Anolis sagrei: one gene and its partners. The protein of the gene in region 3 purifies or fractionates together with the protein of the main gene of each other region. This does not show direct contact. Links are inferred from orthologs where the notes say so. Each region holds a gene or a part of one and is shown on either strand. Other genes may lie near its edges.

What was found.
Region 1: the proteins of ESR2 (region 3) and SRSF2 purify together in Homo sapiens (affinity purification with mass spectrometry; 3 studies listed by BioGRID and IntAct, with this or other methods). This does not show direct contact. The link is inferred for Anolis sagrei from reciprocal best matches to the Homo sapiens genes ESR2 and SRSF2.
Region 2: the proteins of ESR2 (region 3) and COPG2 purify together in Homo sapiens (affinity purification with mass spectrometry; 3 studies listed by BioGRID and IntAct, with this or other methods). This does not show direct contact. The link is inferred for Anolis sagrei from reciprocal best matches to the Homo sapiens genes ESR2 and COPG2.
Region 4: the proteins of ESR2 (region 3) and MRPS9 purify together in Homo sapiens (affinity purification with mass spectrometry; 3 studies listed by BioGRID and IntAct, with this or other methods). This does not show direct contact. The link is inferred for Anolis sagrei from reciprocal best matches to the Homo sapiens genes ESR2 and MRPS9.

What each region holds. Positions count from the first base shown.
Region 1 is NC_090022.1:119,937,486-119,946,090, reverse strand, and holds the start of SRSF2 (serine/arginine-rich splicing factor 2), read left to right. Parts: upstream 1-5,381; 5' UTR 5,382-5,573; coding exon 5,574-5,938; intron 5,939-7,122; coding exon 7,123-7,426; 3' UTR 7,427-7,433; intron 7,434-8,377; 3' UTR 8,378-8,605.
Region 2 is NC_090025.1:194,474,767-194,482,821, forward strand, and holds the start of COPG2 (coatomer subunit gamma-2), read left to right. Parts: upstream 1-4,701; 5' UTR 4,702-4,785; coding exon 4,786-4,822; intron 4,823-7,027; coding exon 7,028-7,080; intron 7,081-7,182; coding exon 7,183-7,263; intron 7,264-8,055. UniProt on the Homo sapiens protein: The coatomer is a cytosolic protein complex that binds to dilysine motifs and reversibly associates with Golgi non-clathrin-coated vesicles, which further mediate biosynthetic protein transport from the ER, via the Golgi up to the trans Golgi network.
Region 3 is NC_090021.1:330,451,638-330,459,160, reverse strand, and holds the start of ESR2 (estrogen receptor beta), read right to left. Parts: upstream 3,227-7,523; 5' UTR 2,967-3,226; intron 1-2,966.
Region 4 is NC_090023.1:105,747,880-105,755,722, reverse strand, and holds the start of MRPS9 (small ribosomal subunit protein uS9m), read right to left. Parts: upstream 3,447-7,843; 5' UTR 3,327-3,446; coding exon 3,237-3,326; intron 1-3,236.

The DNA of each region.
Region 1 (8,605 bases), on a different chromosome or scaffold from region 3:
ACTGCATTAACCGAGACTATTTATTTATGAATGTAATACCTACATACAACAACAGTAGCAGGGAAAACACACTAATCAATGAATGATCATACAAGATTCACTCTACCTTTCACACTCAGAATAAGAGTAGATTCCCCATAAAGAAGAAACCTTCAGGCCCAGCTGATCTTCTTGGACACTTCACCATATCTCTGAATCAGTTTTTGCCCCCAAAAACGATAAATCACCTGACAACAAATGGAACTTGGATAATTTCCATTTATTCAGGGCAGGAAATAAAGACCAGCTCACATGTCAAGTCAGCTGATCAAATGACAGAAAGCAGAAGAGGTGAACCCTGGGAAATGCAGTTCTAAAAAGCAGGAAGAACGAGCACATGGCGAGTATGGGTGGCGATCTGCTTCAGTGATGAGAAATGTCTTATTTGGTGGCTATGGATGAATGGTTGCAATTTTGTTAGCTCCATAATGTTAGATTGCCACTCTTAACTGCTTAGCATTAAATAACACTTTGATCAATGTGTTTTACACTTGTTTGTTTTTTCCCCAAAAGAAATTCCTCTTAGCAGAAATAATAAATAGTTCTTAGCTGTCTCACTCTTTATGCCTCTGCAAAACCCCCCTAAATCTTTCTATTTGTTATAAACATTGAAATTAGCATTTATTTGGGCACCTTGTCTTGTAACTCTCTTCACTATAATAGCTGGTTGAAATTGCTTTACAATCTCAAAGGTAGTAAACTGCATTAAGACAAATTTGGGGTGCATCTATTCTGTAGAATAAATGCAGTTTGAGATCAAGCCTTCAGATAATAATTATAGTTCAATAATAGATAGGAATTATGTGCAATGACTACTGGAACGGCCCCGGATTACGATTGTGGGTGGTGTACTTTTAACAGTGAATGTAATGTTTTTAAATGTTTTAATGTGCTTTAATTTTAATTCTTGGAGCCCCTGATGACGCAGCGGGTTAAACCACTAAGCTGTTGAACTTGCTGACCAAAAGATCGGTGGTTCAAATCCAGGGAGTGGCGTGAGCTCCCGCTGTTAGCCCCAGCTTCTGCCAATCTAGCAGTTCAAAAACATGCAAATGTGAGTAGATCAATAGGTACCGCTCCAGTGGGAAGATGACGGCACTCCATGCAGTCATGCCAGCCACATGACCTTGGAGGTGTCTACAGACAACGCTGGCTCTTCAGCTTAAAAACAGAAATGAGCACCATCCCCCTGAGTCAGAAAGTACTAGACTTAATGTCAGGGGAAAACCTTTACCTCTGAATTGTAATTCTTAATTAAATGTTTATTTTAATTTCATGTTGTTTTAAGGCATCACACAGTTGCCTATATGTAAAGCTGCCTTCAGTCTCCTTCGGGGTTGAGAAAAGCGGGGTATAAGTAGGGTAAATAAATAACTCACTTTCACGGTCATGACTCAGTGCTATGGAATCCTGGGAGCTGTAATTTTACATGGTCTTTAACCCTCTCTGCCCAAGACTGTTGGTGCTTCATCAAACTACAAATCCTGGGATTCCACAGCATTGTGCCAGAGCAGTTAAGTAGTGGCAAATCTAATTCATTTTACAATGTAGAACCAACCAGGGCTGCATATTTTCTTCCCCTCTCTGTTAAAAGCTTGAAGCAAGTTAGTCAAGATCATTTAGTTGATAGAAAAGATAATCTTTTGATTTGGTCTGCAATTGTTTCTAGGTTTTGATATGCTAGAAATTGTTAGAAACTAATACATTTTGTCTTCATTTGAGTATTTCTTCTTACAGTCACAATTACAACCTTACTTCATGCCTCTATAGGGGGAAGGGACCTCAGAAACACAAGAAGCAGACCATGGGTGCATCTATATTTTAGAATTAATGCAGTGTGACACCACTTTAACTACCATGACCCAAAGTGATGAAATAATGAGATATGTAGTTTGATGAGGCCCCAGCACTTTTTGGCAGTGAAGGCTAAAGGCTTTATAAAACTAGAACTCCCAGGATTCCGTAACAATGAGCCATTGCAGTTAGTGATATCAAACCACATTAATTCTAGTTTTTAGATGCATGCTTGATTTCCCAACCATATATTTCCAGGTGCTGTTGGATCTTCAGCTATTAGATATGAATCTTTTTTAACATGAAGCCCATTTATCCACCTTCTTGGGGTCCGGTGGATTGTGCTCAAAGGACTCAAGAACTTCTAGGAATGAATGGCTTTCTTCAATTTCCTTGTTCTGATCATTTTTTCTTATCACAATGTATTTTAAGGTAGTAAAAAAGGCCACTTTGGAGTCTATATGGGAAGATATAAATTAAATATTAAATAAATAACAAATAATCTCCGGGAATGGACCTGACAGTGACCTAAATGAACTTAGTCTAGATGGGGTTTTTAATTTATTTTAATCTATTGAATGTTTAATTGTGTTCTTTGTTTGGATGCTAATTGCATTTATGTGGGTTATAAAATAATTTTTATTAGATGCGATTATGTTTATGATGTTGTTTATTTTTATTGTGTGTTATGTTTTTGCTTTGAGTCCTGGCCCAGGACAAAAAGTGGGATAGAAATAAATAAATAATAAAGTAAATAAATAAACCAGGCTTTCCAAACATTCATTTGCTTTCATTCCAGACTGATTTATGAAGGAAATCCGTTTCCAATCCAATTAAAAAAGCCTGTATGCAGAAGGTTGTATATTTTTGGTGTATTTTTCTGGGAGGAGCGGCACCGCTTTCATCATATCCTCAAAAGTGTCTATGCGCTGCCTGCAAAGAATTACGGTGGGCCTTCAGGATCCACAGGGGTTTGGTTTCAGGACTCCAATGAATACAAAAATTCACAGCTCATGATATACACAGATAGTCAAATGGTGTTCCTTAAAACTGAATTGGAAAGTCAAGGTTCGCCTTTGGGGATTTTTTTTATATGGAGTATTTTCAAGTTGATGATCAAATCCATGGATACAGAGGAGCCAACTGTATTGCTTCAATTCAAACTGGCCCCCACCTTGTTGAAGCCACAAATCATGGCATGTGTACTTTGGGGAGGAAATCATGTAGCCCTCCAAGCACTGAAATCCATTCACTATTCACCACTGGCTCTCCATCCAGCAGCATTTGGGAAACTACACGTTTCACCCAGCTAAGGCTGTATCTGCACTACAGAGTTCATGTAGTTTGACATCACGTTAACTGCTAGGGAATCCTGGAGTCACTTACAGACCCACTGCAGTCTCTATCTTTGGAAGACCATCATTCTCTGATAATGATGTGTTTTAGCCTTCTCTGCCCAAAAGTGCTGGTGCTTCACCAGGATTCCCCTGCATTGAGACAGGGCAGTTAAAGTGAGGCCAAACTATAACAATTCGACAGTGCAGGTGCACTTTTAGAAGCCTACCATTTATGGACATCAATTAAAATCTCTTTAGCATAGGGTGCATTGACACTGTAGTTTGACACCACTTGAACTTGGTGCTACAAAATACTGGGGGCTGGGGTTTAGGCTTCGACAATGGGGGGTAAAGACCTTTTAGAACTATAAAATTACATAGCATTGAACCATGGCGGTTATAGTGGCGTCAAACTGCACTAATTCTACAGTATAGATACTCCCATAAACAGACCTCTTGTCTGTCTCAACTCACACTTACAGGCTGGAATCATAGAATCATTGAGTTGAAAGAGATCTTGTAGGCCATTCAAACGATCTTGACAGATTACAGGGATGGGCCAAAACGAACAAAATGAAGTTCAACAGTGACTAATGCAAGATACTCCACTTTGGCAGGAACAACGAAATGCAAAGATACAGAATGGGGGACAATGCCTGGCTCAAGAGCAGTACGTGTGAAAAAGATCTTGGAGTCCTCGTGGACAACAAGTTAAACATGAGCCAACAATGTGATGTGGCGGCAAAAAAAGCCAATGGGATTTTGGCCTGCATCAATAGGAGCATAGTGTCTAGATCTAGGGAAGTAATGCTACCCCTCTATTCTGACTTGGTTAGACCACACCTGGAATATTGTGTCCAATTCTGGGCACCACAATTCAAGAGAGATGTTGACAAGCTGGAATGTGTCCAGAGGAGGGCGACTAAAATGATCAAGGGTCTGGAGAACAAGCCCTATAAGGAGTGACTTAAGGAGCTGGGCATGTTTAGCCTGAAGAAGAGAAGGCTGAGAGGAGACATGATAGCCATGTATATAGAGGTGAAAGGAAGCCACAGGGAGGAGGGAGCAAGCTTGTTTTCTGCTTCCCTGGAGACTACGATGCGAAACAATGGCTTCAAACTACAAGAAAGGAGATTCCATCTGAACAAGAGAAAGAACTTCCTGACTGTGAGAGCCGTTCAGCAGTGGACCTCTTTGCCCCGGAGTGTGGTGGAGGCTCCTTCTTTGGAAGCTTTTAAACAGAGGCTGGATGGCCATCTGTCAGGGGTGATTTGAATGAAATATTCCTGCTTCTTGGCAGGGGGTTGGACTGGATGGCCCATGAGGTCTCTTCCAACTCTTTGATTCTATGATTCAGTCCAACCTCCTGCCAAGAAGGAAAATCGCATTCAAAGCACAGTAAAATGGGAGTGCAAATAACTCCCCTTTACTCAGCATCCACTCCAATTAGAAGTTCTGAAAAGCTGAAATCTTTGCTCACTAGTCTCTCATGTTGTCTTTCTCTGCTGCCTTCAGCCCCTCCCTCTGCTAGCTGTGCTTTAACAGCCAAGAGTAAGCCAACACGAGAGAGAAAAGACAAAAGGCTCCATGTGCGTCGAAGGAGCCAGGGGCGCCGCCTAGGCCTCACTCAGAGAGGACGCAGGGGGCGGGGCGAAGCGTGGCCACGCCCCTCCCGAGACTGGCTGGCCCCTCTTCACTGCGGCTCAGAGACGGGCGGCTTTTGCTTGCCTGTGACGTGCGCGTCACCGACGCCGTGCGCGCGCCTGAGGGAGCCCTCGGCTCCGTCCTTTCTTTGGGCGCCATTTTGAATGCAGGATTTTCCTCTTCGGACAAACGCCGTCCTGTCCATTCACGTCTAAAATACAAGACTAAATGTTTATGATTTTTAAAAAGGGTATCCCAGAACACACTTCTGTCACATTTAGTGCGATTTGAAAATCATTTTCTGCAGAGGGGAGAGAGCGCGGGGCGAGGATCCCATCATTCCCTTCCGGGTTGCGCCCTAACGGACACCCGAGCATTTGAACGCAATAAGGAAAAATATGGTTTAAAAACATGCTGTTGGAAACAAGAACCCCCGCCATTTTAGCTCATGCATACGAAATGATTAGTCTATAGCTGAGGTATGACTGAGGTATAACTGAGAAGAGAGGGAGGGCGAGTGGGTGGTGCCGAGGGTCCCTTCCGGGTCAGGGTCGGCGGCCATTTTGTGGCGGCGCTTAAGTGCGGGAGGAAGGGCGGGCCCAGGCTCATTCGCTCGTGGCGCCGCGCGGAGATGGCGGCTCACAACTGAGGCCCCGCGCCGCGTGCTTCCATCCGGGTCCCTGAGAGAGGGCCTCCTCGCCCGTTGTCGTCGTCGTCTTCGTGGTCCCCTTCGTCCTCCTCCTCCTCCTTTCGGCCACCATGAGCTACGGGCGCCCGCCGCCGGACGTGGAGGGCATGACCTCGCTGAAGGTGGACAACCTGACCTACCGCACCTCCCCGGACACGCTCCGCCGCGTCTTCGAGAAGTACGGCCGCGTGGGTGACGTCTACATCCCCCGCGACCGCTACACCAAGGAGAGCCGCGGCTTCGCCTTCGTCCGCTTCCACGACAAGCGCGACGCCGAGGACGCCATGGACGCCATGGACGGGGCCGTGCTCGACGGCAGGGAGCTCCGCGTCCAGATGGCGCGCTACGGGCGGCCCCCCGACTCCCACCACAGCCGCCGCGGGCCCCCGCCTCGCCGATACGGCAGCGGAGGAGGATACGGGCGGCGCAGCAGGAGGTGAGCCAGCGGCCCTGGGGGGGGGGGGGGCGCTTGGGCCTCCCTCAAGCACGGGCCTCAGCCAGCCCACGGAACACAGCTAGAGCGGGAAGGGGTGGGATTCATGACAAGTTACAGTAATAATATAATAATATAACTTTATTTCTCTCCCCGATGAGACTCAAGGCGGTTTCCAACATATAAGGCCAAACCTTGAATGGCCAGAAAGGAAAAACGAAGCAGACCAATTAAACCTAAAACCCGACTAAAACATACAGAAAATACCTACAAACCGGTTTCAGTATAGCTCCCATCAGACAGGTTCAAAATACCAATGGCCAAACTATAAAAGGGCTGGGCAAGGGATAGTGCAACCGTGTATTAAGTGCTGAACAAAGTACTAACGGTCTAGGAACTAATCACTCTCAAATATGCTGTTTACAAAAAAAAAAGTGGTCACGGGAGCTGTAGTTTCAACGTTTTTCTTTGCCAAATGGCGCTAGTGTCCCAGGATCCCACCGCCTTCAGCCAAACTGCAGTCATTCTACCTTGGGAGGGTTTTTTTCCTGACTCATGTGAGGTGTGAAGCCCAACAGGGAGGAAAAAGAAACCCTTACAGTCTAGTGTGGAAATATTTTTTTCTGTTATAATAGGGTGCTTTTTTTGTCTTTGCCTGCAAGAGGAAACCTTTTAGACCCGTGCGCAAATCATTCAAACCACGGCAAGGCTGCCCTTCTTGAAGGGGTTGGATTGGGTGGCCCTTGGGATCTCCTCCAACTCTGTTTCTATAATACGTTTCTGCTTGTATAGAACTGAGCTAATTCTACAGTGTAGGTGCGCTCTTAGTGCCTGGCAGCATGTGAAGAGTGATTCATGGAGGGGTGTCAGGCAGGAAAAAAGGCAGAAGTGAGGTGGCGGGAAGACAGGAAAGAGAAAGTTGAGCCCCACGGCAGCCACGTGACAAGAGGAAGGGGAGCCAGCCTGCCTGCGTCCCCGCCCTTGTGAATGAAACTCCCCATTCAAAGCAACTAGGGCAGGCATGGGCGAACCAGCTGTTGTGAATTGTTGTAGTTGAAGTCCAGAACACCTGGAGGGCCAAGGTTTGCCCATCCCTGAACTAGAGTGTTGCAACATTACACAAACCCACCCACCTTTCTGCCTGTGTTTCCTTCCCCCTCAACCTCTCTCTCTCCCTTCTCTTGCAGCCCCAGGAGGCGCCGTCGCAGCCGATCCCGGAGCAGAAGCCGGTCCCGCTCCCGGAGCCGATCTCGCTACAGCCGCTCCAAGTCCCGCTCCCGCACCCGGTCGCGCTCTCGCTCCACTTCCAAGTCTCGCTCAGCCCGAAGGTCGAAGTCCAAGTCCTCCTCCCCATCTAGATCTCGCTCCCGGTCCAGGTCCCGCTCCCGGTCGAGAAGCCCACCACCGGTCTCCAAGAGGGAGTCCAAGTCGCGCTCCCGTTCCAAGAGCCCGCCCAAGTCTCCCGAAGAGGAAGGAGCCGTGTCCTCTTAAGGCAATGGTAAGGTGCCTTCTGGGCGGCTGGCCCTGCATGTGTGCCCCTTTTTTATAGCAATTGGGGTCCTTCCTGGAGTATTTTAGAGCCTGTAAAAGCTAATGGGGCATGTTGTTTACTTCTGAGGAGGGTGCTTTAGTATGTAGTTAATGAAAGGATACCTTCTTTTGTTGCTCTTGATAGCTTGCTTTTTAATATCTATTGTTTTGCGACACTACCTATTTCTGAAAATGACTATTTCTTACTGTTCTTACCCAACATCTGCATTTTCCCCTCTAAAGCTGCGGTCTCCTGTTTGCTTAAAGAATATTGGCCAGTATTGCAGATTTTAACTGATTTGGCTGATCCTCCAGGGACCAGTTTCTGTGGGCGTGTGTTGGAGCAGGTTTGTCTTTACTTGTTAAAGATACACTATCCTGTTAATGGGCAAACGGGCCTGTGGCCACACAGACAGGTCAATGGCTTCCAATGTTGTTAGAAACCAAAGCTGAAAAGCAAATCTTTATGGAAACCAGGCGCTTCTACACTGCAATTGCGGGCTCAAAAGATGTGCTAGGTGGGCAAAATGGATAGTGTGTCTTTAACCTCCCTCAAATTTTTGGTCCTGTTTTTTTCAAAGGAAGGGGGCCTAGAACTGTTATGGAAATGCGGCTGTTTAATGATTGTTCAAGATTTTGAATAAGAACTCATCTGTAATTTAACATACTTGGGCTGGTCTTGTATTAAGTGTAGTTTGAGCATTCCTCAACACGATGTGCTGTGGTTAATGGAGAATCCACAGTCTTTGCCTCAAAAAGTCTCATTGCACCAACTATTAGTGCCTGGTGGGAGGTGGGTAATGTATACTCAGATGTGTCAAGACAAGGCCAGCACTTACTAGGAAAGGATCCACAAAATGTGAAAGGGGGGAGAGGATTTTCCTTGCTGAAGTCTACATTTTTCAAACCTAGATACATCAAATAGACGAGAAGTCGACATAAAGGATGCCTTTGGAGGAGAGCCGATCATTTGAATCGCCGGTCCATTGGAAAGACCCCAGCACAAGCAACCAGCTATTGAAAAAGGTTATTTTGTAACACTTTGTCTAAGTTTTTATTTTACTTTTTGAGCCTCAGATGGCAGACTATTACTTTTATGTGCCATTTTGTTGCTATTATTCAAATTTCTTGTAATTTAGT
Region 2 (8,055 bases), on a different chromosome or scaffold from region 3:
GAGGCTAGAGTGCGTGTGGCGCCAGAGACCTACCAAATCAGCCCAAACACATCTGAATGCCTTTTTAAGGTCCTACGATGTGGCAATAGCGGCGGCGCAGAAATCATTTCTTGCAGCCGATATTGCATCTGTGAAGAATCGTCCAGCTGAGCTATTCCAAGTTGTCAGGGGTCTGTTAAATCCGCCGAAAAGCGAGATCCCTGATGACTCAGGGGCTCGCTGTGAAGCACTGGCTCGATTCTTCACAAATAAAGTTGCGTTGATTCAGTCGGATTTCGACGCCATATTAACAGCGGTCTCTGAGAATGTAGCACGAGCATCTGGTTGTCCGGTTTTATTGGATTCATTTCAATTGGTTCAGCTTGAGGATGTGGACAGGATCCTTGGGGAAGTGAGGCCTACCACATGCATCCTAGACCCCTGTCCATCCTGGCTGATAAAAGAAGCCAGAGGGGGCTTGGCAGAGTGGGTGAAGGTGGTAGTTAATGCCTCCTTACAGGAGGGAAAGTTTCCAGCAAGCTTAAAACAAGCTATCATAAAACCATTGCTGAAAAAGCTGTTGACATAGTAGGGGGTGGTGCGCTCCCTGTATGATGCTCCGGTGAGCAATCTGGCTGCTGCCCGTTGGACTAGTTAAAGCTTCCGAACAGTCTTCAAAGGCAACCCTGCGTAGAGTGTGTTGCAGTAATCTATTCGGGATGTAACAGCATGGTCATAACACTTGAATAACACTTTATTTATATTCTGTGGCTATCTTTATGTTTTATGTTTTGGACTATTAAAACAGCCAGAAAGTAAGTGCTGTTTTAATTAAATTGTTTAACAAAAACTGGGAGTTTGGTTCATCTCTGCCTAAATATTGGCAGAGCCCTAGCATCGTGACAGTTGCTGTACATTTTTTGGCCTACCACATGCATTGTATGGCCATGTTCCAGCAGCGTTCTCTCCTGACATTTCACCTGCATCTGCGGCTAGTGGTATCATCAGAGATTCTGTTGCTACTGAGACACGTGGAGTATATATGCAGTGTTCGCTCACTTAGCCCTCCTCGCCTTTTGCTTCACCAGGTGAAGAGAGAGAGAGAGCGCAGGAAAGAAAGGAAAGGCCTTCAAGGTAGGAGAGAGAGAGGACTGAGGAGGGAAAGCGCCTCGGAAAGCGGCAGCAGAAAAAACCCGCGAAACCGCGAAAATACTGTGATATATATTTTCAATTCATATTTAATTAAAAACCGCGAAACAGCGAGTCTGCTAAAAGCGAACCGTGAAGTAGCGAGGGAAGACTACACCTATGGAATGTCCTGGGTGGGAGAAAGGACTTGGTTAGTTGCAACATTCTTATTTACTTACTTAGGCAATCCCTTGTAGTCCAAGGATGATGGTCCTCCAAGTTGGGTGTACTGGAGGTGGGTCCATAGGTGACTGTGGAGCCCTATTCTTGAGCTACCTCTTCTCCCACAGTGAGAGCATCGGTTTCCAGGTGGAAGGTGGTCCCGGTCGGGGTTGGGCTTCCTCTTGGCATGTTTCTCTCTTTCGCCCTCCATTCATGCCTCTTCAAATTCTGCAGCACTGCTGGTCACAGCTGACCTCCAGCTGGAGCGCCAGGGCTTCCCAGTTCTCCGTGTCTATGCCAAAGTTTTAAAGGTTGGCTTTGAGCCCATCTTTAAATCTCTTTTCCTGTCCACCAACATTCCGTTTTCCATTCTTGAGTTTGGAGTAGCGCAACTGCTTTGGGAGACGGCGGTCAGGCATCTGGACAAGGTGGCCAGTCCAACGGAATTGAAGCAACATTCACACTCGCTTCAAAGAGATCCTCCCACCCGGGACATTATTCCATAGGGATATATACACTCCACTTGCTTCACTTCCAACAGACCTCTGAAGATGCCACTCGCCACAGATGCAGGCGAAACGTCAGGAGAGAATGCTGCTGGAAAATGGCCAGAAAGCCCGGAAAACTCATAGCAACCCATTTTCTAGCGTTACACCATTAAGCTGTATTTCTGGCATTGCGGAGGGATTGGTTGGTGCCTTCTGGTGTTAGAAGAATATTTTAGTTTTCTTGATGTTCAGTGAGAGGCCAAGTTCCCCACAGGCTTCTGCAAAGATATTATGCAACACTATTTTCAAGCTGCTGATGGTTGACTCCATGGATACGGAGAGGTGACCGTATTCAGGGAGTTATCATGAAAATGCAAAAAGTGCATTACATTAAGTAAACCTCAGGATTGTTATGCTTTTGCGCAAGCATTTCTCTTTCCCTGGCTTGATCTGTTGAATCCGTGTCCTGGAAACAATAGCCATGTTTATTGGCAACAGCCATTCTGACTGCCAGGACAGTATAAATAGACAGCCAAGTTTAGATAGGTTTCATTTTAGGAAATCCTGGATTTGTGCAAACTTAACCTGGAGAGTAACTTACTTACTTAGGCAATCCCTCATTGTCTGAGTAGGATTGTCTTCCAAGATCAGTGTCCGTAGCTGACTGGGGAGCCCTATTCTTGACCCGCATCTTCTCCCGCAGTGAGGGTGAAAGGGTCTTTGAGTGAAATTTGCAAATGCTAAGCAAGGGGCTTTGAATGAAATTAACAACAAAAGAGAAATATACCCTATCTCTGTAGAAAAGGAACAACACGGAAGAAAATGTTTTAAAAACAAGAGGCATCATGTAGAGGTCATACAAAGTTCAAGCTTACATAGGAAGTTGGGTTGTGGTTAAGTGCAAAGGTTGCAGTTAAGCGCAGAGTCTGCAGGTACAAGAAGGTACTTTCCATCAAAAGGTCAAGGGAGGGGGGCTGGAAAGAGAGTACTAGTAATCCCTTGTATTACTTGAGTATATAACGGTGTACAAAAGCCAAGGGGGTGTGGCAGTCTGTTAAAGCACAAACAAAAGTGCTGTCTGTCCGTCTCATGTCGATCAGCTTGAATAAATGGGGTCTCACATGAACCAATTAGACTGTGGATTTCTTCGAAAAGGGACCCTGCACCCTAAACCCTTGATCCCTTACAAGGGCATTGGTTTCCTGGAGGAAGGTGGTCCTAGTTGAGGTTGGCTTGATGCGCCTTCCTGTTGGCACGTTTCTCCCTTTCGCCCTCCATTTGTGCCTCTTCAAATCCTACAGAATTGTGTCCAATTCTGGGCACCACAATTCAAGAGAGATATTGACAAGCTGGAATGTGTCCAGAGGAGGGCGACTAAAATGACCAAGGCTCTGGAGAACAAGCCCTATGAGGAGCGGCTTAAGGAGCTGAGCATTTTTAGCCTGAAGAAGAGAAGGCTGAGAGGAGATATGAAAGACATGTATAAATATGTGAGAGGAAGCCACAGGGAGGAGGGAGCAAGCTTGTTTTCTGCTTCCTTGGAGACTAGGACGCAAGGGAACAATGGCTTCAAACTACAAGAGAGGAGATTCCATCTGAACATGAGGAAGAACTTCCTGACTGTGAGAGCTGTTCAGCAGTGGAACTCTCTGCCCCGGAGTGTGGTGGAGGCTCCTTCTTTGGAAGCTTTTAAACAGAGGCTGGATGGCCATCTGTCAGGGGTGATTTGAATGCTTCTTGGCAGGGGGTTGGACTGGATGGCCCATGAGGTCTCTTCCAACTCTTTGATTCTATGATACAGCACTGCTGGTGACAACTGACCTCCAGCTGGAACGCTCAAGAGCCAGGGCTTCCCAATTCTCAATATCTATGCCAGAGTTTTTAAGGTTGGCTTTGAACTCATCTTTCAATCTCTTTTCCTGCCCACCAACATTTCGTTTTCCGATCTTGCGTTCGGAGTAACCCTCTCTGCTTCATTTGGAAGAATGCTGCACTCGCAGAGCTCAGGCGGTGTTGTCTTTCAGTGTCAATGTTGACTTTTGTGGAGAGGTAGCTGCCAAGGGAGCAGAAATGGTCAAACTATTCTAATAGTGCTTGGTAATACTGGGAGTTCCGTGGAATGAAGAAAAGGTCACGGAAGGCCTTGTAAAATCTGCAATTCCCAGCATTCCACAGCATTGAACTGGTGCAGCTTAAAGTGGTATCAAACTGTGTTAATTCCACAGTGTAGATGCACCATTAACTGTAATTTGGACTGCAAAAAAGAAGTGATGCCAAGGATTAAATGGTTGCCTTTAAGAGTTGTGGATAATCTGGACTGCAGCTCCCATGAGCCACTTACTATGCTGGAAAATCTGCAATTCCCAGCATTCCACAGCATTGAACTGGGGCAGCTTGAAGTGGTATCAAACTGTGTTAATTCCACAGTGTAGATGCACCATTAACTGTAATTTGGACTCCAAAAAAGAAGTGATGCCAAGGGTTAAGTGTTTACCTTCAAGAGTTGTGGATAATCTGAACTGCAACTCCCATGATCCTTGCTGAATGGGGATGATGGGAGATGGAGGGTCAAAAGCTTCCCCATTGACCGCCTTATTGATTCCCTAGAATCAATAAACAAAAGGAGTGTAAATATATGCTGCGGCCCCTTTAAATCAGGCTGGTTGCTTCCTTGTGGGCGGGGCTACAAGGGAGAAGGGGCGGGCCATACGCAAATCAAGACTGACGTACTGTATTTCTCCTTCCCTTCCGTGTGGGCGTGGCTACAAAGGAAGGGGGCGTGCTGTATGCAAATACAGACTGATGTCAGCAGTTGAGAGGGACGAATGGGCGTGGCCCTGAAGTTTTGAGTGACAGCGCCTTCTAGCCAATGGAAGCGTGCATCCAGTGGGAAGGCGGGACTTCCTTCCCGGATTTGTGAGCGGTGGAAGCTCGAACTCGGCGGCCAGAAGCCGAGCCGGCCGCCGCCATGATCAAGAAGTTCGACAAGAAGGATGAGGAGTCTGGTAAGAGACGGGCTGGGAGGGCTGGCGTCGCTAAGGTGGCAAGCCTTTCGAGGTAGGCCCCGTTGCTAGGCAGATTGGCAAGCCCCTTGGGATAAAGGCCAGGCGGCCCCGTACATAGAGAGGAACTTAGGCCTCAAGCCACGCCCCAGGGCTGAAGCCACGCCCCCAGGGGCGTGTCTTCAGAGGAGAGCATGAAAGAGGCGTGTCCTGCTTGTCCTTAATAAATAATAAAAATAATAATAGGAATAATAATAATAATAGTAGGAATAATAATAATAATAATAATAGGAATAATTAATAATAGTAGGAATAATAATTGTAGGAATAATAGGAATAATAATAATAATAGTAGGAATAATTAATAATAATAATAGGAATAATAAAAATAATAAGAATAGGAATAATAATTGTAGGAATAATAATAATAGTAGTGGTAGGAATAATAATAATAATAGGAATAAATAATAATAATAGGAATAATAATAATAGGAATAATAATAATAATAGGAATAATTAATAATAATAGTAGTAGTAGGAATAATAATAATAATAGGAATAATAATAATAGTAGGAATAATTAATAATAATAATATGAATAATAATAATAGGAATAATTAATAATAATAATAGTAGGAATAATAATAATAATAGGGATAATAATAATAGTAGGAATAATAATAATAGGAATAATAATAATAGGAGGAATAATTAATAATAATAATAATAGGAATAATTAATAATAATAATAGTAGTAGGAATAAGTAATAATAATAGGAATAATAATAATAGTAGGAATAATTAATAATAATAATATGAATAATAATAATAGGAATAATTAATAATAATAGTAGGAATAATAATAATAGTGGTAGGAATAATAATAATTAATAATAATAGTAGGAATAATAATAATAATAATAATAGGGATAATAATAATAGTAGGAATAATAATAATAGGAATAATAATAATAGGAGGAATAATTAATAATAATAATAATAATAGGAATAATTAATAATAATAATAGTAGTAGGAATAAGTAATAATAATAGGAATAATAATAATAGTAGGAATAATTAATAATAATACTAATAATAGGAATAATAATAATAGTAGGAATAATTAATAATATTAAATAATTAAATAATTAATCAAAGCCATGGTATTCCCTGTAGTAACCTACGGATGTGAGAGCTGGACCTTAGGGAAGGCTGAGCGAAGGAATATCGATGCCAGATCAGCCAGAACCATTGAGAGGCCCAATGTTTACGCAGGTCAGAAAGAATTCGGCAGTTAAGGCCAAAAACAGGGGGGAGTAGGAACCAGTTTTTGGGACTTAAATTGAGCTCTTAGAGAATTTTCTTTAGACCAGGCACTGTTTGGAATCAAACTCAAGTCTCCTGGATATTCCTTTTTCATGTGGCTTTGTCTCTAAGGATTCACGGCTTTTCAAGTGGATTAGCAGTGGCTAGTCTGTTCATGGGTTTATTCTAAAGTCTTTTTGGTTATTCATTGCCTGTGGATTATTTCTGCGAGGTTGGGACATGGATATAATTCCTTTGTTTGGACACTGCTTATGTTGCTGCTTTATTTGGCTTTTTGCTTATTTTTATAATAAGATGAAATTTTTATAATCATCTCTTTTATTGGTTCCAGTTATTCTTAAAATAAAAAGGACTCTTCCTTCATTCAAGGTGTGGTGTAATTAATGATTAGAGAGTCCCGTTCCTGTTCTAGGATGCAACACCTTCTACCTACTGGCTGTTAGGAATTGTGGGAGTTGAAGTCCAAAACACCTGGAGGGCCCAGGTTTGCCCATGCCTACCGTAGAGCCAGACCGGAAGATGTGTGGCTCCTTTAATGGGGATATTAGCCAAAGATTCTTCCCCATCTCTATTTATTACTGGTTAAACCCCTGTGCCAGCAGTACTGAAGACCGACAGGTCGCAGGTTCGAATCCGGGGAGAGGCGGATGAGCTCCCTCTATCAGCTCCAGCTCCTCATATGGGGACATGAGAGAAGCCTCCAACAAGGATGATAAAAACATCAAATCATCCAGGCGTCCCCTGGGCAACATCCTTGCAGACGCCCAATTCTCTCACACCAGAAGTGACTTACAGTTTCTCAAGTCACCCCTGACACGACCAAAAAAAACCAAAAAACTGGATAATGTGGATAATGATGTGCTTCTTTCCCTTCTTCCTCAGGGAGCGGCTCCAACCCTTTCCAGCATCTGGAGAAGAGCGCCATCCTTCAGGAGGTGAGGCCGGGCCCTTTCATTGCATCTCAGAAGTACAGGATGTGCGTCCTTCAACTCTCCCTGTACGTATTTCCTGCATTATTTTTGTCCATCTCCCCATAGGCTCGGATCTTTAACGAGACCCCTATCAACCCACGGAGATGCCTGCACATCCTGACCAAGATCCTTTACTTGCTGAACCAGGTATTTATTTATTTATTTACAGTATTTATATTCCGCCCTTCTCACCCCGCAGGGGACTCAGGGCGGATTACAGTGTACATATGCATGTGAAACATTCAATGCCATAGACAAACAACATATATAGACAAACACACAGAGGTTATTTAACATTCCACCTGTCGCACACCAAGGCTGGAAGCACACCTTTAAACCCACAAACACTCCAAAGTTCTTTAGCAAATAAACAGTTTATTTGAATAAATGCAAGCAGTATCAAGAAAGGTGAAAAAGGCAAGTAAAAAGTTGTATAAGAAAGTCTAAAAACCATCTGACCCAGCAGGTCAGCAAATACAGTCCATCAATACAGCATAGTTGATACTTATTTCCACAGCAAAATCCACGAATGCATAGTCCTTAAAACCCACAAAGGATAATGTCCAAAGTCTCTTGAAAAGCCAGGAAACAAGGTTGCACAGATCCAAAATCCACAGAAGAATCAATCAGGAAAACATTCACCAACTGCAACTTGAACATGAGTCTTGAGCAGAGAGTTCCATGAATCTTGACATGACATACATACAAGACTTGACTGGTAACTGACGTTGCGCTCACTGAAGGCAAAGCTGTGAAAACCCTATATTTATTCAAAAAGACCTACACAAAATGCATTCCGATTCCCTTGAGAACTCTCCTTTAAATTCCTCTTTTCCCTTATCCTGACAGACCTTCTGACTTCCCCTTATGACTGTAGGGGCCTCATATCTATCTATCTATCCATCCATCCATCCATCTATCATTTAATTATTATTATTT
Region 3 (7,523 bases):
TGCAAGGACGTTGCCCAGGGGACGCCCGGATGATTTCATGTTTTTATCATCCTTGTGGTAGGCTTCTCTCATGTCCCCGCATGAGAAGCTGGAGTTGATATAGGGAGCTCATCCGCCTCTCCCCGGATTCAAACCTGCGACCTGTCCTGCCGGCACAGGGGTTTAACCCACTGTGCCACCGGGGGCTCCCTGATCTCACAACCTATGAGGATGCCTGCCATAGATGTGGGAGAAACATCAGGAGATAATGCTTCTGGAACATGGCCAAGCAGCCCAGAAAACTCACAGCAACCCAGTGATTCCAGCCATGAAAGCTTTCGACAACACATTCTTTCTCGCAGTCTCAAAGGTGCCAAAAGATCCCTTTGCATACTTATAATTGTAGTCTCAATTATAAGTATGCAAATGGATCTTTTGGCACCTTTGAGACTGAGAGAAAGAATGTGTTGTCGATATGGCTATGACTCTGAATCCTACTGTCATTGGATAAGGATGAAACAAATGTTTAAATCTCTCATTAACATCAGTGGAATTTAGTGGAAACATTTCTGTGCCCATTCAAATAAAAGCCATTGAGATCAACAAAGTTTTTTCCAGATAACCACATATAGGATTGCTACGCTTAATGCTTAATACTGGATGGCTCATGGACAACTATCCATTACTACAGGTTATCAGTTCGATAGAGAAGCATCAGAAATTAAAAGGGCATGAATAGATGACAACATTCATAATTAAGCAAGTAATTATATTAATCTCTTTTCATGCCATTCCTAAGAAGGGAGACTGTAGACACATACCAAGAAATATCTGTGGCTCATGCTAAAATCTTCAAGATTTCCAAGAAATAAATCCCACAGGATGCAAGGGGGTTTGTTTCCGAGTACATAGTTTGGACTCTCTCCTTCACAGAGCTGACAATAACACAGGACTAAAAAACAACACAAGACATTGACTGCCTCAGTTCCTCGGGGCTTAGGGTGGACCCAGTTTGACTAGCTGCCCAATCTCTCCAGTTTCTCCATCACTTTGGCCAGTGTTTTCAAACACTTCTGCCATTATCACACAATCTTCTCTGGGGGTTGGGACCCCTGGGGGAGGGTTGCAAGTGGGGTGCCAGAGGGGTCACCAAAGACCATCAGAAAACACAATATTTTCTGTTGGTTTCGGGGGGTTCTGTGTGGGAAGTTTGGCCCAATTCTATCATTGGTAGGGTTCAGAATTCTCTTTGATTGTGGGTGAACTATAAATCCCAGCAACTACAACTCCCAAATGTCAAGGTCTATTTCCCCCAAAATCCACCAGTGTTCACATTTGGGCATATTGAGTATTCGTGCCAAGTTTGGTCCAGACCCACCATTGTTTGAGTTCACAGTGCTCTCTGGATTTAGGTGAACTACAACTCCAAAATTCAAGGTCAATGCTCACCAAACCCTTCCAGTATGTTCCGTTGCTCATGGGAGTTCTGTGTGACAAGTTTGGTTCAGTTCAATCATTGGTGGAGTTCAGAATGCTCTTTGATGGTAGGTGAACTATAAATCCCAGCAATGACAACTCCCAAATGCCAAGGTATATTTCCCCAAACTCCACCAATATTCATATTTGGGCATATTGAGTATTTGGCTTCAAACTACAAGAAAGGAGATTCCATCTGAACATGAGGAAGAACTTCCTGACTGCGAGAGCCGTTCAGCAGTGGAACTCTCTGCCCTGGAGTGTGGTGGAGGCTCCTTCTTTGGAAGCTTGTAAACAGAGGCTGGATGGCCATCTGTCAGGGGTGCTTTGAATGCAATATTCCTGCTTCTTGGCAGGGGGTTGGACTGGATGGCCCACGAGGTCTCTTCCAACTCTATGATTCTATGCTAAGTTTGGTCTGGATCCATTATTATTTGAGTCCACAGTGCTCTCTGGATGTAGGTGAACTACAACTCCAAAACTCAAGCTCAATGCCCACCAACCCCTTCCAGTATTTCCTATTGGTCATGGGAGTTCTGTGTGCCAACATTGGTTCAATTCCATCGTTGGTGGAGTTCATTTGATTGTAGGTTAACTATAAATCCCAGCAACTACAACTCCCAAATGACAAAATCAATCCTCCCCAACCCAGTATTCAAATTTGGACATATCAGATATTTGTGCCAAATTTGGTCCAGTGAAGGAAAATACATCCTGCATATCAGATATTTATATTATTATTCATAACAATAGCAAATTTACAGTTATGAAGTAGTAATGAAAATAATGTTATGGTTGAGGGTCACCACAACATGAGGGACTGGATTATCATAGAATCAAAGAGTTGGAAGAGACCTCATGGGCCATCCAGTCTAACCCCCTGCCAAGAAGCAGGAATATTGCATTCAAATCACCCCTGACAGATGGCCATCCAGCCTCTGTTTAAAAGCTTCCAAAGAAGGAGCCTCCACCACATTAGAAAGGTTGAGAACCACTGTCTTACTACTTCATCACACTAGAGAATGAATCCACTTTAAATCCGGTTTCTGCCTCCTGCAGAATTCTGGGGTTTGTAGTTTAGGGAGGACCCTTTAGGAGCCTCACAAAACTACAAACTCCAGAATTCTGCAGGAGGCAGAAACCGGATTTAAAGTGGATTCATTCTCTAGTGTGATGAATTGGTTAGAGGAAAATAAATCACACTCACGCCCAGCAGTCCCAAGAATGGTAGAGTTGGAAAGGACCCCAAGGGTCATCTAGTCCAACCCCTTGTAGACCAGTCAATCAAGAAACAAACTTCTTCTAGGATTCCTTTCCAGCAACTCTCCAGAGAGCAGACTTCCAAAAGCAGAGGAAAGGTCCCTTTCCGCTTTTATATATATATAAAAAAATCAATCCATGTACTATTTGATTCCAAAATGGACCTCCATTCCTCATGATCTCCAAGGGGTCTTTTCCACTCCATTAGAGTGGCCAGTTCATTCACAGACATTTCCACAGCAAGGACTTACCGGAGAGCTTTGGAGTGCGCAGTCGAGGAGGCGCATCAGGATGCCTCCTCAGCTTCTCTTCTTTCGCCTCTTCCTGGCTTTTTCCACCCTCGAAAGGCACTCTGGCTCTGGGGACAAGTCGTGGCTGGTGCCTCCTTAGTGTCTTTCCAAAGCCCTACAGCCTTGGAAGGATCCGCGACCATCACACGCGCGTCCGCAACCCACGCGCGTGTTTTTTCGCCATCCCTCCCAGCCAAGGCAGGAGTTTGCTGTAAGTAAGTTCCTCCTCCTTCTCTTCCTCCTCCTCTTTGCCGTAATAAATTGGAGAAGCTGGCGTGAGTCACTCACTCCCTGGCAGTGCCAGCTCCCATGCCCAAGAGGAGGACTCTCCTCTGGTGACCACAAGCAGGCAGGAAAGGAAGGAAGGAGGGACCAGCCAGCCGCCCAGATAGGTGATCATCCTCATGGCGGGAGAGCACTCCAGGCTCACCTTGGCCACCTCTTCCTTGCCCACTGGGGACTTTCAAGTCTCCTGTCAACTGGTGGCCACCCCAGGAATGTAATCTTATTTTCTCATTTTCTTTTATAAATATGTATTACAGTTTTTCTTTAGAACATAGAGTCAAACAGAAAAAAGAATGAAGGAAATAAAGGGAATTGAAAAATAAATCAAAAAGAAGGAATCATAGAATCATAGAATCAAAGAGTTGGAAGAGACCTCATGGGCCATCCAGTCCAACCCCTTGCCAAGAAGCAGGAATATTGCATTCAAATCACCCCTGACAGATGGCCATCCAGCACCTGTTTAAAAGCTTCCAAAAAAGGAGCCTCCACCATACACCGGGGCAGAGAGTTCCAACTGCTGAATGACTCTCACAGTCAGGAAATTCTTCCTCATGTTCAGATGGAATCTCCTCTCATGTAGTTTGAAGCCATTGCTCCGCGTCCTAGTCTCCAAGGAAGCAGAAAACAAGCTTGCTCCCTCCTCCCTGTGGCTTCCTCTCACATATTTATACATGGCTATCATGTCTCCTCTCAGCCTTCTCTTCTTCAGGCTAAACATGCTTAACTTGTTTAACTTGTTGTCCACGAGGACTCCAAGATCTTTTTCACACGTACTGCTCTCGAGCCAGGCGTCCCCCATTCTGTATCTTTGCATTTCGTTTTTCCTGCCAAAGTGGAGTATCTTGCATTTGTCACTGTTAAACTTCATTTTGTTAGTTTTGGCCCATCTCTCTAATCTGTCAAGATCGTTTTGAATCCTACTCCTGTCCTCTGGAGTATTGGCTATCCCTCCCAATTTGGTGTCGTCTGCAAACTTGATGATCCTGCCTTCTAGCCCTTCATCTAAGTCATTAATAAAGATGTTGAACAGGACCGGGCCCAGGACGGACCCCTGTGGCACTCCACTCGTCACTTCTTTCCAAGATGAAGAGGAAGCGTTAGTGAGCGCTCTCTGGGTTCGTCCATTTAACCAATTACAGATCCAAAGAAGGGGATCACACAATGAAGAAGAAAAGGGGGGGGGGGACACAAGATACATTACATCTGCATTAAAGTAAAATTAAGATACATTTACATGTAAATACAAATTTATTTGTTTATTTATTTACTATATTTATCTACGGCTCTTCTTAGCCCTTAGGCGACTCTGAGCGGTTAGCAATAGCAAAACAGCGCCCCTTACTAGATCTTAAACACCTTCATGTTTCAAAGCCTGTCTGAATACAAAGGTTTTGATGTGTACATAATATCCTACTCCTAACCAACAATGTGTTGCAACTTATATCTCATTTTTCAGATATTTTGGATTTGGAATCAATTGAGTAGTGTGACTGTCTGCATGTCCAACATTCAAATAACTACATCACTTTGTTCTGAGACCATTCAGCCATGGAAACCCATTGATTAACCTCGGGCAAGTCATTCTCTCTCAACCTCAGAGGAATGCAGAGGCAAACTAGCTCTGAACAAACCTTGGCAAGAAAATTCTGTGAGAGGCTTGCCTTTGGGTCGCTGTAAGTTGGCAATGCGTTGGAGGCACACAACAATACTAGCACATATGATCCTGGCAATTGTAGATGTGGATATTGTGCAGGAGGGGGGAGAACTCCCTGTACCTTTTAGTTGTGGTTGTGTCGTTATAATTTCTAACACATTAAAGAAACTAAAATACAGAAAATGGGAACAGTTTGACTTGCTCAGACGAAGAAGGTGGAAGGCTCCAGACGATGATCTTTGGTATTAGAATGGAGGGAGTCCTAAGTACACAAGAGTGCCTGTAATATTTTCCTCAGCACTGACACATATGGTGTTATCTGCTTTCCAACACAGTGTTTGCTGCCCACCCTGTTCTTCTGACACAAATGAAATCACAACTACACACAAGCAGCCCCCAAAATGTTCAGAATCCTAGAGGAGAAACTAAAACATTGTATGAAAAGCGTCTGTACGCCCAGCAAAGGCAGATTGTTTAGTTCCTTTTATTAATTTCTGTACAGGCAGCTGATTATTTTCTTATTTTTCAAGGAAAATATGCGATACTTGCATGTTTGTTCAAACAAATTTACAGATACCTTTCTTCCATTTCTTGTCATTTGACAAAATAACACAATGTGGATGGAATGAGGATATCATAGAATCATAGAGTTAGAAGAGACCCCAAGATTAGCCTCTACTTCAATGTCTATCCAAAGCCAAGGCATTTATTTCAACAGCTTTTGAGAATAGGTTCTTGTGGGTTTTTTCGGGCTATAGGGCCATGTTCTAGAGGCATTTTCTCCTGACGTTTCGCCTGCATCTATGGCACGCATCCTCAGAGGTAGTGAGGTCTGTTGGAATTAGGACAATGGGTTTATATATCTGTGGAATGGCTGGGGTGGGGCAAAGAGCTCTTCTCTGCTGGAGCTAGGTGTGAATGTTTCAACTGACCACCTTCATTAGCATTTGAAGGCCTGGCTGAGCCTGGGAAAATCTTTTGCTGAGAGGTGTTAAGATGTCCCTGCTTGCTTCCTCTCTGTTGTTGTGCTGTTGTAATTTTAGAGCTTTTTAATACTGGTAGCCAGATTTTGTTCATTTTCATGGTCTCTTCCTTTCTGTTGAAATTGTCCACATGCTTGTGGATTTCAATGGCTTCTCTGTGTAGTCTGACATGGTGGTTGTTGGAGTGGTCCAGCATTTCTGTGTTCTCAAATAATATGCTGTGTCCAGGCTGGTTCATCAGGTGCTCTGCTATGGCTGACTTCTCTGGTTGAAGTAGTCTGCAGTGCCTTTCATGTTCCTTGATCCGTGTCTGGTCAATGCTGCGTTTGGTGGTCCCTCTGTAGACTTGTCCACAGCTGCATGGTATACAGTAGACTCCTGCAGAGGTGAGAGGATCCCTCTTGTCTTTTGCTGAACGTAGCATTTGTTGGATTTTCTTGGTGGGTCTGTAAGTGGTTTGCATGTTGTGTTTCCTCATCAGCTTCCCTATGCGGTCAGTGGTTCCCTTGATGTATGGCAGGAACACTTTTCCTCTGGGTGGATCTTCATCTTTACTCTCGTGGCTTGTTCTTGGTCTTGCAGCTCTTCTGATGTCTGCGGTGGAGTATCCATTGGCCTGGAGAGCCCAGCTTTTGAGAATATTTTTTTAAGAAACACCTTTTTGTAGCATTCTGTACAGTCTTCAATTGTGTTATCTTCAAATGTCTTTTCATTAACTTTTAAATAAGTGCTTCCAAGTTTGGTTTTAGTGTTATTCATAGTTTCATTCCAACATGATGTCAGCCTTTTGTAGAAAATCATAGAATTGGAAGAGACCACAAGGGCCATCTAGTTTAACCCCCTACTATGCAGGAGCACACAATCAAAGCACCCCCTACAGATGGCCATTCTTCTCTTTAAAAAAAATCTCCATAGAAGACTCTACTATGTTCCGAAGCAGCATATTCCATAGCCAAAAGGTTCTTATAGTATCATAGAATCAAAGAGTTGGAAGAGACCTCATGGGCCATCCAGTCCAATCCCCTGCCAAGAAGCAGGAATATTGTATTCAAATCACCCCTGACAGATGGCCATCCAGCCCCTGTTTAAAAGCTTCCAAAGAAGGAGCCTCCACCACACTCCGGGGCAGAGAGTTCCACTGCTGAACGGCTCTCACAGTCAGGAAGTTCTTCCTCATGTTCAGATGGAATCTCCTCTCTTGTAGTTTGAAGCCATTGTTCCGCGTCCTAGTCTCCAAGGAAGCAGAAAACAAGCTTGCTCCCTCCTCCCTGTGGCTTCCTCTCACATATTTATACATGGCTATCATATCTCCTCTCAGCCTTCTCTTCTTCAGGCTAAACATGCCCAGCTCCTTAAGCCGCTCCTCATAGGGCTTGTTCTCCAGACCCTTGATCATTTTAGTTGCTCTCCTCTGGACACACTCCAGCTTGTCAATATCTCTCTTGAATTGTGGTGCCCAGAATTGGACACAATATTCCAGGTGTGATCTAACCAGAGCAGAATAGAGGGGTAGCATTACTTCCCTAGATCTAGACACTATGCTCCTATTAATGCAGGCCAAAATCCCATTGGCTTTTTTTGCCACCACATCACATT
Region 4 (7,843 bases), on a different chromosome or scaffold from region 3:
CAGGCTCCAGTCCTGTCTGCTCAAGACCACATGCTTGAAGAAACACTACTGTTTTGTCATACCTGAATTACTTGAGGTAATTTATCAGAAGCATAGTACCAGGCTATTCAAGCCAAGACACATAATTGAATTTGCAGTTCTTCCAGATTTCAGTAGGGGAAAAAATCTCTATGAAGCTACAATTATATAGTTATCTGGAAATCAAGCAACTAGCAAAAATTAACTAAAATTGCATACTGGATTCACAAAGTTATTTAATTTGTGTTGGTACCAAACTTTTATTTTCCCTTTCCCTGCTTTTGCACCCAGGGCAGGGGATTGCTTTTAGAAGCTCAATGAGGGCAGCCTGGTCTCCTGCTGCTCCAACATCTATTATTGTACAGATGGAGCTTCTAAACATAAGTGTAGATTATTGTGCTGGGATATTATATTATACTGGCAGCCAAAACAATTTTTACCTTCCACTCCCTCTGCTTTTTCCCAATATTCTGGAATGTCCTATAAACTTTGGCTCAAGTGTTCAGACTAATAAGCAGCCATTTGGAAATGGAAGAATTCTGAAAAATTGCCTTCTACTTCTGCAAGCAAAATTTTATGATGGAGGTATTGCTGTTGTGATCCACCATGGGTCACATAATTTAACAGAGCTCACCAGCTGAATATCAGTGAATATTCTGTTTGCTGAGTGTATGTATATCCATGTTTCTATTGTAGCTTCTCGATTTGTATAGTAAATGTGCAATCCTTAGTGTAATACCACATATAACTCGAGCTACAAACATTACAAACAAGGAAGAAATACAATCCAGGTGGAAACTTAAAAAAAATGAAACATATCACCAAACTGAAGGCCGACAACTACTCAATCAAAGAGAACTTGGCAGGGCAAAATAAGTTTCATTCAGTCAATTGGCTGAATTCAGAATCTGATTTCAGTATCTCATAAACCAAGAGGAAAAATGTAAAGTTCATTTTTGGAAATGGTTAGACATTATGAATTATCCCCATATTCCTGGTGGTGGCTGAAGCAAGAGTGCAGTGCAGCCATCATGCTATGTTCTGTCCCTCTTTGTTTATAACATGATGACAAATATAACAGCTTCAGTTACAGCATGGATGCAGAATGAGAGAGTTCACCATATGAATGCTATTGAATGTATATGAATGTTTATGTTTTTGCAAAGACGAGCTTCTTACAGTATTAGAGATAGGTTTTGGTATGTAACTTTTATGGAGGTATGTTTAGTGTGTGTATTTGTGGTGCTTTTGCTGTGTTTATGTATTCTAATTGTTTTGTAACCCGCCTTGAGCCATGAGGAAAGGCGGGTAAGAAATAAAATTATTATTATAAAAAGAAGGGAAAGAGAGAATGTAGATTCATCTTTAAGGATCATTTATTTTTATTCTAGCAGGGGATTTCTTGGCTATAAACCCACTTCTTCAGATACAATACACAGTGCTATAGCATACTGTACATATCTGAAATTCTTGGGATGAAAAGCGTTCTGTATTTTTCCCCTTCCCTAAATGTTGGATATATACACACACACACACACACACATATATATACACATACATATAGTGTGTCTGTGTATGGGCTCCCTGGTGGTGCAGTGGTTTAGACCACTGAGCTGCTGAACTTGCTGACCAAAAGGTTGGTGGTTCGAATCCGAGGAGCGGGGCACGTTCCCGCTGTTAGCCCCAGCTTCTGCCAACCCAGCAATTCAAAAACATGAAAATGTGAGTAGATCAATAGGCGCTGCTTCTGCAGGCAGGTAACAGCGCTCCTCGTGGTCTTTCCGGTCACATGACCTTGGAAGTGTCTACGGGCAATGCCGTTTCTTCGGCTTAGAAATGTCAGTGAACCTGTTACCTTAGGTAAGGTTTGTCCTTTTTTTTTTTTGCTTTGAATTACTATATTTCAATATATTTCAATATTAATATTAATACTGAGTTTATGGTATAACATCGTATGGGGTATAGCATTATTTAGAATTAAATAGTAACTCTCAAGCCCCTTCCACACAGCTGAATAAAATCTCATATTATTTGCTTTGAACTCGAATATATGGCAGTGTGGACTCAGATAACCCAGTTTAAAGCAGATATCGTGGTATTTTCTGCCTTGGTATTCTGGGATATATTGATGTGTGGAAGGGCCCTTTGGCAACCAGAAACTACATTGATCTGGAATTTTCCAATCCTCATAGGGCCCTTCCACACAGCTCTATGTCCCAGAATATCAGGCAGAAAATCCCACATTATCTGAGTGTGGACTCAGATAACCCAATTCAAAGCAGATATGTGGGATTTTCTGCTTGATATTCTGGGATATAGAGCTGTGTGGAAGGTCCAATAGTTTAACAAAGAATCTGTGCTTTTAATCATTTTGAGCATGGAACAAAATGTCTGATCATTGAGCCCATCAGATAGCAAAGGCATCACTACCTCAGCCGCCCATGTGGACAAATGCAGGGCCATATAACCCAGAATACCAAGACCGAAAATCCCACAATATCTGGTTTGAACTGGGTTATCTGAGCACCATTCCACACAGCCATAAAACCCAGAATATCAAGCCAAAATATTCAACAATATCCGCTTTGAACTAGGTTATCTGAGTCCACACTGTAATATATACCAGTTCAAAGCAGGTAAGGTGGGTTATCCTGCCTTGATAGTCTGGATTATATGGATGTAGAGAAAGGCCCCGAGTCCACACTGCCATATATTCCAGTTCAAAGCAGATAATGAGGGATTTTATTCAGCTGTGTGGAAGAGGCCTTGGACGGTGAGACATTTTGGATTTCGGAATTCAGGGCAAGGAGGGGTCAATTTGTAATTCTAAATGAGAATAATTTTAATCTCCCCCCTGAAGAATTCCCTGCAGGGATTGGCTGATGCTGAGGGGGCCTGTTGAGCAGAGTCAGCATTTGGGCCAGGAGTTGCTGTGGGCCTTCGGGTCCTTTCCGACTTATGTCGGCCCTGAAACGAATTCAGTCGGGGTTTTCTGGGGCTGAGAATGTGTGACTCTCTCAAGGTCACGCGGGGCGCTCCCACGGTTAAGCAGGGATTCAAACCCTGGCCTCCAGAGCCGCAGCCTTACGCTCCGCCCCTTCCCCCGCGCTGACCGCGAACGAAATGCCACCTGGGGTGAGAGGAAGAAGCGGCGTGAGACCCCGAGGCACTGACGTCACTACGCAAGGGCCTTCCGAGGCCTCCCCTCCCCTTCTCACCTTGGATCCCACGAAGGGCTTCCCCCTCCTCCCTGAGGCGCTCCAGCGGCAGCAACCCGCCAGCGCGCGCCCGACCGCCGCCGTTGCCATGCTTGGGAAAAAAAAGAAAGAAAGGGGGGGCGGGGGAGACGAAAAGCAGCACGCACGCGCTCTCGCAGGCAAGCCAGCGCGCGCTCTCACACACAAAGCTCTCCTGCCGTATTCCGCAACTGTCGCACGTCCCCGCACATGACGCAAAAAGGAGTCTCCACACACCAGTCCCTCCCCGACCTGCAGTCCACTTTGATTGGCTGCCACAACTCGAGGGAGGCGGGGAAAGTAAAAGGACGCGCAAAAAGTCACGTGATTTTAGCCGGGTTGACATTCGTCGCTGTTTAGCGAAAAGTTCCCGCGCTCTTTCAGTGAAGAGGGGTGGGGCTTCCTATTGCAGGGTTTGATTCCACGCATGTCTCTTTAGTTCAGTTAAGGCTTTCAGTTAAGAGGGGAAGGAGGGTTAACTGGGAATGCAAACGCGTGTGGACTATTATAGATGCGTTTGATTACTACTACTACTTTGCATGATGTTTAATATGTTGGAAGCCGCATTGGGCCCTTTGTGGGAGAAAAGCGGGCTATAAATAAAGATTTAGAATCTATATAAGTAAAAATGTAATGTTCGTTTGCGGGATTAACAGAACTCAAAAACCACTGGACGAATTGACTCCAAATTTGGACACAAGACACCTAACATCCCAATGTATGCTCTTCACTCAAAAGTTTTTGATTTTCTCATTTGGGAGTTGTTGTTCCTGGGATTTATAGTTCACCTACAATCAAAGAGCATTCTGAATTCCATCAATTATGGCATTGAACCAAACGTGGCATACTGGACTCCCATGATCAACAGAAAACACTAGAAGGGTTTGGTGGGCATTGACCTTGAGTTTGGGAGTTGTAGTTCACCTACATCCAGAGAGCACTGTAGACTCAAACAATGATGGATCTGGACCAAACTTGGCACGAATATTCCATATGCCCAAATATGAATGGAGTTTGGGAGAAACATTTGGGATTTGTAGTTACTGGGATTTATAGTTCACCAACAATCCAAGAGCATTCTGAACCCCATCAATGACAGAATTGGGGCACATTTCCCACACAGAGACCCCATGACCAACAGAAAATACTTAATGACATCCAGTCCAACTCTCTTCACCAGGGCAAGAAAATGTTAGAAACCAATACTTCCTCATTACTTTATTTTCCAGATCACCAGGATGGGCCACAGCAACGCGTGGCAAGGGATGGCTAGTCTATATAAATAAAAATGTAATGTTCTTTGTGGGATTAACATAACTCAAAAACCAGTGGATGGATTAGGACACAATACACTTATCAGGCCAATGAATGATCATCATTCATAAAAACACTGAAAAACACAGCAGAAGAGACTTTAAAAGCCAAAAAATGAAAAATACATTACAACACATGCCCAAAACCACATATTTACACAAACACACAGGATATCGTGACGGGGTATAAAATAAAGTTTTATTATATGCACAAATATAAATAAACACAAAACACATATACACAGACTGGGCCACAGCAACGCGTGGCAGGGGACAGCTAGTAATAATAATAATAATAATAATAATAATAATAATAATAATAATAAAACTTTATTTATACCCCGCCACCATCTCCCCAAGGGACTCGGGGCAGCTTACATGAGACCAGGCCCAACAGTACCTCAAAGCAAATATACAACATAAATACACACAGTAAAATATAATAAGAAAAATAAAATACGAAACAATATAAATAAACACACCAAACAATATGTTGTCATTAATTCGTTCAGTCACTTCTGACTCTTCGTGGCCTCATGGACCAGCCCATGCCAGAGCTCCCTGTCAGCCTTGGGCACCCCCAGCTCCTTCAAGGTCAATCCAGTCACTTCAATGATACCATCCATCCATCTTGCCCTTGATCGGCCCCTCTTCCTTTTTCCTTCCATTTTCTCCAGCATCATTGTCTTCTCTAAGCTTTCCTTTTTTTCTCATGATGTGGCCAAAGTACTTCATCTTGGTCTCTACTATTCTTCCCTCCAATGAGCAGTCAGGCTTTATTTCCTGAAGTATGGACTGGTTGGATCTCGCGGTCCAAGGCACTCTCAGAACTTTCCTCCAACACCACAGTTCAAAAGCATCTATCTTCCTTTGCTCAGCCTTCCCTAAGGTCCAGCTCTCACATCCGTAGGTTACTACAGGGAATACCATTGCTTTAACTATGCGGATCTTTGTTGCCAGTGTGATGTCTCTGTGACATCGACCGAACAATATAAAATCACAGTGGCCAGGGCAAGTTGCAAAGATTAAAAGTTTAAAACACAGGGTAAGCAGGTCATGTAGTGTATCTAGAAAAGGGGTGAAAGTAAGGTTTAATTGCACTAGAAGATAAAATAAAGTGCTCCTGAGGGCCTTCTCTCGCTCCCGCCACCACGGAGGAGGCCCTCTCCCTCATCCCCACAAGTCGCACTTGCAATGGGGGTGGGAGCGAGAGAAGGGGCTCTCCGGAAGATTGAAGGGATCGTGTAGGTTCGTAAAAGGAAATGTGGTTATGAAGGTAGGCGGGTCCCAAACCGTTCAGGGCTTTGTAGGTAAGAACCTGCACATTATTATTGATTATTGACACAAAAACACAGTATGACACAGCAAACGAGATATATATGCTGGATTTCGTATCACAAAATCACAAGCCGAACCCTTTCCATATTATTATTATCATTCCATTTTCTTTTGTGGAGTTGTAAGCAAATGATGCCACTGTTAACTGCCATGGCTCAATCCCATGAAACCCTACGAGTTGCAGTTTAGTGAGGAGCCAACACACTGACAGAGAAGGCTAAAGGCCTTGTAAAACTACAACCCCCGCGATTCCATAGCATAGAGGGCCCTTCCATACATCCCTATATCCCAGAATATCAAGGCAGAAAATCACACAATATCTGCTTTGAACTTGTTATCTGAGTCCACATTGACATATAACCCAGTTCAAAGCAGATAATATGGGATTTTATTCAGCTTTGTGGAAAGGGCCTGAGTCATGGGAGTTCAAGTGACATCTAACTCCATTCATTCTCCTTGTAAACTAGGCACCCTACATTATCTTGGAGAAGTGAGATAAGTACAGAAGGAATTGTAGTAGATGCACCTCAAAAGTTTTGGAAAGTAATCCTAATTCCTGCGTATTTGGTACAGGCTTGAACTGAAACTTGTTGCATGAAGAAGGCAAAAAAGAAACTTCAGCAGCCCCATTTGCAATCAACAACCAATAATATGTTGTCGAAGGCTTTCATTGTTGGAATCACTGGGTTGCTGTGTGTTTTCCAGGCTGTATGGCCATGTTCCAGAAGCAGTCTCTCCTTAGAGAATGCTTCTGGAACATGACCATACAGCCCGGAAAACTCACAGCAACCCAACAACCAATAACTTGTGCAAAGACCTCCCAGTCTCAAAGAGAGCAAAGCAAAATAATCCACCAATCTTAATGATACAGTCCTCTAAAGTGTCTTCCCTGTTTTCCAAAATAAAATGAAAAAGAACAGAAGAAATTAGGCAGAGTATTCTCAGCAAAACCAGAAGTTATCAGGCACCAAAGCAGCAGGGAAATCCAGCTTCTTCTCATTTTGTAGCTTCAGTCTAGTTCTCAGGTCTACAAATTCTGCAGTTGCCATAATGCAAGGGAGAGAAGCAGCATGAGTATCCCTTCTGTATATACACAACTGATGGGCATGGGCTGTGCTTCAGCTGCGCTGGACACTCTCCTATATGTGACAACAACGTAACCTCAAAATACTGCCAAGTTGGGTTTGATTATCATTTCGGGGGCCTTTGGGGAAGGGGGGAGGGAAACACTTAAATTGACTATGAAAACATTCTCCTTTTCAGCCCACAGACACCAAAGAAGCTTATATATATTTGAAAATAAAATTAAACAAAAATAAAATTAAATGGATACTATTACAGATGAAACCTATAATTCATCATATCTAGCAAGGTGGAACCATAGCATCATAACTGAAATACTTTGTTATTAAAATTACTACATGGGGAGTGCTTTGTTAAACAGGAGAACACCCAACATACTTACCATAATTAACAAGATTCCATAACCTTGAGCCATGGCAGTTAAAATGGTGTCAAACTGCATTAATTTTAGAGTGTGCGTGATTCTTGAGTTCTAATTTTACAGGACACAAGAAAAACTCTTAATCTTTTTATAGGGCGAATATACACTGACCCAATGCAGTCACATTAAGGTGGTTTTTTCCTGCATTACCGCACAATGGGCCCATCCGGCCAAAGTTAGTCAGTATAGATGTGTTCCTCGGCATAAGTTTTATTTACGTGGTCAATACTTCCACAGTGGAATTAATTCAACTCTTTCTCTCTTCTTACAAAAACATTGTGATCTTCATAACTATCCTGTGTGTTTGGATCTCTAATGAAACAGAATTTGGAGGATTAAGTTCAGTCGTTTCCTCAGATGTTTCCCCTCAATATTGGAATAAGATATGAAAAAACAGTGCTGGCAGGTTTCCCTCCATATCTATCATCTTGTCA